2 linked regions of the Drosophila melanogaster genome follow. Each later gene encodes a partner of the first gene's protein in a complex. Each region holds a gene or a part of one and is shown on either strand. Other genes may lie near its edges. A codon is read from its position in the direction of its gene.

Region 1 (3,085 bases):
CGGCGAATGAGGTTGTCACAATGTTTACACTTCCTTCAAATTAATCAACTAATTAAAGTTGAGGCCGACAGATGTGAGTGATTTTTTGCCAAATGTTCCCAGCTAAAAGGTCAATGTCGGATCTAATGAGGAATGGCTGACGTTCGTCTTAAATTGCCGAAAAAGCTTAAAGCTTGGCGATTATCTCTGGACTTTGTCGTCCATAAATTCTTTAAGGTCTTATCTCAGCAGGCACATTTTCTTAGCTTAAATATTTCTGTTTGTTATCTCGTTTTGTTGAGGCAAAACATTTCGTCCCAGATTAAGATGATGCGTTGAAAGCAAAACATTTCAAGCAAATTATAATTAAAGTTGAAAACTCTTTTTGCCAGCTTAAAGAAAATCGCCAGGCAAGCGAAAGGCATAGTTTTGTTTGTGTGCAAAATTTCCACCCAACTTGCTGCGATTTAAATCAAAATTTGATTTTCCTTCCGCTCAAAGGAGCATATTTTCGTATGGAAAAAAATAAACATTGTTATAATAGAATTTGGATATATCAAAGTGTGTTTAAAATTGTTCATATTGTTCTTTTGCTAACCATTTAGTGTATCTGTTCACTTTTAAAGGCTAAAATTATTATCGAAATATTTATAATATTTAATGTTTGAAGAAATTAAAAAGCGATGTTTCGAATTGCGCTTATTTATTGTAGTTTCAAGTTTCAAAGCCGTGCATATAGTTTATACTTAATACTTTTACGTAACATGTCTCATATATGTATGTATGTAAACTGATGGACCAGGTATCGCAGCATTTTTAGGAGTCGCAGTATGCCCTCAACGTGGAAAAGGAACACGATTTGCGGCAACAGGAGTCGACAACGCCGCGAAAATCGCGCCGAATGCTCGACAGTGAGTTCATGTGGTGAGATTCGGAGCTATCCAAATCCGCCAAGTGGTCCTCATAATCGAATAGGCCCACTGCAAGTAAAATAAGTGAGTTCGTGCCGTTTGGAAACCCCAAACCCCAAAAAAACGCAGCCGATACTCACAGGTGCCTCGTTTGGCGAACATTGAATTGAATCCATTGGGACAGGCAACCCTCAGCATGTCCATCAAGGCGGGGCCACAAGCCCGCAGCGAGTTTGCGGCCTGGGCGGATAGCAGGAGCGGGATCAGGAACAGGAGAACTGGGATCACGGAGCGGAACATCATTGCCTTGCTGGAACTGCTGCTGGATAGGATGTGGTGCAGTTTCCGCCGCTGTCAGCCATTTTTATATCCGCCGGCGCACTTTCACCTGTCAGATTGGATTAGTCTTTTGGGGTCAGCGTGGGCAGGAGCGTACTTGCTAATTTTCAATGTCAGGACATCGCAGGGTGCTATCATTAATTTATGCCCATGGATTAGCGTAACTTTCGCTTAATCGGATGCACCAAGGGGGTGGCGGAATCTATATATAATAGCTGAAATCAAAATGTATAACGATATATATGGTCTTTAGTTAGAAGGGCTTTCATTTTCAATATGTTTAATTGGCTTATCGTGCAAATAGTGCATACGATCATAAGTTTGTATTTCATGAAATATTTAAGTAATGTACTTATTGTATATCTAAGAAAGTAAAGTCGTATATTACATTTTTGCCTGTTCACATGTATAATTCTATAACATATACCAAAAGAACGCATGACAATCGAATACATGCCTGCGAGGAGAGCATATTTAAAAATAAATTTAAATTTGGCGCTAACTGCTTGCAAGCAGTCGAAGCAGTGCGCCAAACACACAAGCAGTATATACCGCGAAATTTAAAATTTTACCTCATACAATATACGATGTGCATTGATTCTTACTAATTGTATTGTATTTTTACGTTATTTTTAGGATTGAAGTCGACGATCAAATAACGAAGCCCCTGAACTTGGCCAACTCGGCCGTTCTGCGCGCCGTCGAAGAGGAAGAACAACAAGCCAAATGTGGTAAGATATACCTCTCTTTTTTGGATATTTGTCTATGCGCGTTTATTTTATGTTGCCTAGACAAAAAGAAACAGTGTAGAAACATACAACAAAACAGCAAACTCCAGTCCCAGTGCTCGTCCAATATTAGTGTTTTTTACAGATAAATTTAAATAAATTCAGGGGACTTCCCCCACAAAGATTTTTACCCCACTGAAAGGCAGAGTCGCCCGCGTCAACGAGGCGAGGTGGATGCACTGCATCACACGCTGCACCAGCAGCTTCTGAACCAGATCAAAACAGACTATCTCAGTCATCAGCAGGACATCACTATCGATCGGGACACGGTGCTGAAAATCAACCGTCTGGCCACCAAGAGGCATCTGCTCAAACGGGATCACAGCTGGCCTCCAGCTGAGCAGGATCAACCAACTATCAATCCCGAACAGAGCCATCAGATCTCCTGCAGCCCATCGCACAGTATTGAGGCTCTGAGGGAGAAGTTCCAGAGTCCCACCCTGGTTATCGAACCCACTGCCAATGAAGTGAGAGAGCAGCGACGACGCGATGGTGGCTCCAAAGAGAGATCAAAAACGCTCCAAAAGCACACCAAAGAACCTGACCTGGCGGAAGTTTTCCATCAAACTCCCATATCCAAGGGATTCTCCGCTCCAGAGACCAAGGCAGCCGATGTGGATTTGGGTTTGGTGGCTCCGCGATGTGAGTACTACGAGCAATTGGCCCACAAAAGGTCCGCCACACCAACTCTGCCCACTCAAATCACTCCATATAGGCCAAGATACAAGAGACAGGCTCATTCCCTGGATCGTAGCCGCTCCCGGAAACGTACAGTGGGTGCTCCGGAATTGCCGCCACCTAAGCCGAGAACTTCAAAGCCAAAAGTCCAACGGCGGTGCATAAAACTGGCCACTGAGGTAAAGATCTCATATGGCCACGACGGCGACAGCGAGGATGATCCCAATTCTGGTCAAGATGTGGATTTGGAGACCTTGCCGCTGCCACCGACACCGGTGTCGCCAGCTGCCGCAAATCTCAATCAAGCGAAGACAGCAGGGCGAATGGTAATTGACAACGTGGCAGTTAAACAGCAGCAGCAGATGGCTTTGGCTTTGGCCACAAATGGGA
Region 2 (3,600 bases), 5.6 Mb from region 1:
CTTTAAGTTCTGATTCCCATGGGTGGTTATTAATTGGGAGATTGGTTATGGATTACAAAATTAATTCGTTCGAATGAATTCGAAACCATGGAGTTTTAATTAATGGTTTTGACAACTACAGTGCTAATTCAGTAAGCTAAACGAATAATATACGGTTGATACTTTGCACTTCGTCGAAATGATTCATGAATATTAACAGAGTAGTGTGAAGCACCTTTATATGTAGGGTTAATTAATTTTACTTACATGTGATAGAAAGTCATAGGATCTCGAACACTGTTGTATGTTCTCAACAACTTGCATAAGATGACAATGTTAATTGTCAAGATCGAAATGAAATGGTATATGGGCTGGAAAGTCATTGAGCTATCCTTGTGAGACACCTCAGTTTCCAAACCACCAACTCTGGACTGCGGACGCAATTAGGCGGTGGAAAGACAGATCCCGAGGCGGATAATCGAACCCCCCGTCCGGTTATATCTGTTTTGTTCCGCACCTTCCCGGTGCGGCGGTCGCATAAAGAATTACGATCCGAGAACGAGCAGAGAGAGAGCGGCGAGTGAGTGAGAGTGTGTGTGTGTGTGTCTGTTGTCTGTGTGTGTGTGTGAGTGAGCCGGCGTCGCATATAAATGGAACAGCGCTGCGGCCACCAATTCAGTTCTGTTACAGTTTCCAGCTGTTGAACACGACTTTTGAGAGCCGCCGAAGCCAACTGATCCGAAGTTAACTAAGCCGATCCGCGATCCTCGCTTTTCAATTCGCCGTGAACCGCATTCGCAGCAGCAATCCCCCCCAAAAACCAAAAACCAACACACCTTGACTCGAGTGTAATGTCGATGAACCGTGCGTATTCAAACGAGTGCCGCGCCAACCAGACAACCATCAAGAAGTACCAGACCAAGTCCACGTCCACATCGAAGGAGCACTGATACCGCCACGAGGATCGAATGTGCCAAAGTAGTCAGCTAGATATTCGCTACGCCGCCTGAGATTAACACGCTTCCGCTACCCAATTACTCGATCCTTATCCCGATCCTGAAGCGCCACTCCCGAGCACAGCACCCAGACGTTTCAATACGATCCATCCTCGTCGCCCAAGACAGACCGGCAAGCAGCCAAGATTCCACCAACACTGAGCTGCACGACCTCCAAGACGGCATCCAGCGCCGGACCTATGTCAGTGCTAAGCCAGCTGCTGCTCAACTTCAACCAGAAAGCCCAGACCAGGAGCCATCACAACATAGAGCTGATAAATTCGTTCATAACATAACGATAAGCCGACCTGCTTCTGCTTTACCTGATCTATCATCGTCCAACGTTGGGGAGAAATTTGCAAACATTTTTTACCGGAAGAGAAAAAAGAAATCAAATCAAAGGGTGAGTAATGTGCGTTAACAATAGATAGGTGATTGCCGCCGAACGCAGTTTCGTGTTCCGTTTTTCGTTTGTTTTTTTTTTTTCAAAATTCGAATTCGTAGAAATGCCCAAAGATACAAAAATCACCGTCGAAGGGCAAAGACCGTCTGATGCAACATTCGCCAGCGATTGGCGAATGACTTTTTGTGGGGCTACTACTAATTCATACATACAAGCGTATGTACATACATAATACCCTCGAAACTATTTGAATAATTAATCGGTCACGCAGTTTGTCCAGTCTAGACTATGGGGACACATTGGCCCTTGATCTGCGGCTGAAGCGTGGGTGAGTGTGTGAATCCGAATCGGGCTGTAGAATTCGAATTTAAATTGACGTCACACTCCGCGAGTCATTCCGTTTTCCGTTTTCGATTTCTGCCTCTGATTCGGCCCACGCAAGAATCTTATATCATTTTCTTTTGTCAATTCTTGTTGTCTGGTGACGTGTCATTGTGAAATACATTCATCTACGTTTGGACCGAGCACATCTCTTAGGGGCCGGAAAAGGATTCCGAATCTAAATTCCGGACTCCGAGAGCCATTAGCACATTTCGCAAGTGTTAGTAATGTTCTAGAGCCCGCCGACTGAAGGCCTTGCGTTCTTATCGGGGAAATAGACTCGGAGACCTCCCCTGATTAATGGAGGCGGTGATGAGTGGGGGAAGTGGGGTGGTGGGGTGGTGGGGGGATGCATGACTGGCTGAAAAGTCGGGCTAATCGCATCACGTTGCTCTGGGGTTTAATAACCTATATTAGAGTCGTACGAGTGCCGCTGTTGAACTTTGAACTCACTTCCGATTTCCACTCTCTCTATCGATCTTGCAGAAAATGAATTTACATGTGTGCGCCTTAGCGCTGCTGCTGTTCGGCAGCATCGCCACTGTCCGCGGAAGAGCCGTGGACCTGGTAGACGATAGCAACGACGTGGATAACTCCATCGAGGCGGAGGAGGAGAAGCCACGCAACCGAGCCTTCGAAGCCGACTGGCTCAAGTTCACCAAGACGCCGCCGACGAAGCTGCAGCAGGCCGATGGAGCCACCATCGAGATCGTTTGCGAGATGATGGGCTCCCAAGTGCCCAGCATCCAGTGGGTGGTGGGTCACCTGCCCCGCTCGGAGCTCGATGATCTGGACTCCAACCAGGTTGCCGAAGAGGCGCCCAGTGCCATTGTGCGCGTCCGATCGTCGCATATCATCGACCACGTGCTGAGCGAGGCCCGCACCTACACGTGTGTGGGACGCACTGGCTCCAAGACCATCTATGCCAGCACTGTGGTGCATCCTCCTCGCTCCTCTCGTCTGACGCCGGAGAAGACCTACCCGGGTGCCCAGAAACCGCGAATCATCTACACCGAGAAGACGCATCTGGACCTCATGGGCTCCAACATTCAGCTGCCCTGCCGCGTGCACGCCCGTCCCCGCGCCGAGATCACCTGGTTGAATAACGAGAACAAGGAGATCGTCCAAGGACATCGCCACAGGGTGCTGGCCAACGGCGATCTTCTGATCTCCGAGATCAAGTGGGAGGATATGGGCAACTACAAGTGCATAGCCCGCAACGTCGTCGGAAAGGATACCGCCGATACCTTCGTGTATCCCGTACTTGTAAGTATTCCCCTACCCGCCGGGTTATACCAACTCATCCTAAGTAATCCCTACGTATTTTTCTTGTCCTTGCAGAATGAGGAAGACTAAAGATCCTACCACCAAATAAAAAACAAAAGGCTATTGGATTGACGACGGAAATTCATCTAGTTAGTTAGATAGATCAAATGCCTTCGAAGATGCGTGAAAAGAAATGAAATATGCTTAGAAAAAATACAAAAAAAAAAAAATCAAAAAAAAATATGATGGATCAAAAGGTCATACGATTTACAATTATGTACAATTTAGATTAAGCACAATCTAGCTCGTAGTCCAGGTAATTAACCGTATCTAATGCCGGCTTAGACACTAATTTTCCCACTTATTATCCTCGAATATCAGTCACATTTAGAGCATTCGAATTATAGCACCTACTTTATGGTTTTCTTCAATTATAGCTTTAGTTATCGGCTTGTAATCACGCTTCTTTGGTTCTTTGTAAGTAGCAATGATTGTTCCTAGCGATTCAGGCAGCACTAGTTAACGTATTTAAACTAATTGGCCGTTTACTTAAGGGCACTGCAGCCCAAGAAGCAC

Evidence for each region. Proteins that work in one complex are often made in the same cells at the same time.
Region 2: the proteins of Ilp5 (region 1) and ImpL2 are in contact, whole or in part, in a crystal structure (PDB 6FEY), measured with the Drosophila melanogaster proteins. Residues at the interface, in NP_996037.2 of Drosophila melanogaster: Cys92 (codon at 849), Cys93 (codon at 846), Ser96 (codon at 837), Cys97 (codon at 834), Ser98 (codon at 831), Phe99 (codon at 828); in NP_728961.2 of Drosophila melanogaster: Ser116 (codon at 2,581), Ile118 (codon at 2,587), Leu186 (codon at 2,791), Trp236 (codon at 2,941), Tyr260 (codon at 3,013), Val262 (codon at 3,019), Leu263 (codon at 3,022).

Annotation. Positions count from the first base shown.
Region 1 is NT_037436.4:9,822,681-9,825,765, forward strand, and holds Ilp5 (Insulin-like peptide 5), read right to left. Parts: upstream 1,218-3,085; 5' UTR 1,194-1,217; coding exon 1,031-1,193; intron 960-1,030; coding exon 796-959; 3' UTR 669-795; downstream 1-668. Other genes in the region: CG43897 (uncharacterized protein), read left to right, coding at 1,866-1,960, 2,123-3,085.
Region 2 is NT_037436.4:4,224,351-4,227,950, reverse strand, and holds ImpL2 (Ecdysone-inducible gene L2), read left to right. Parts: upstream 1-2,000; 5' UTR 2,001-2,058; coding exon 2,059-2,067; intron 2,068-2,244; coding exon 2,245-3,024; intron 3,025-3,099; coding exon 3,100-3,114; 3' UTR 3,115-3,241; downstream 3,242-3,600. Other genes in the region: CG46460 (uncharacterized protein), read left to right, coding at 1,175-1,270. UniProt on the Drosophila melanogaster protein: Essential developmental role during embryogenesis, in particular the normal development of the nervous system. May be involved in some aspect of cell adhesion.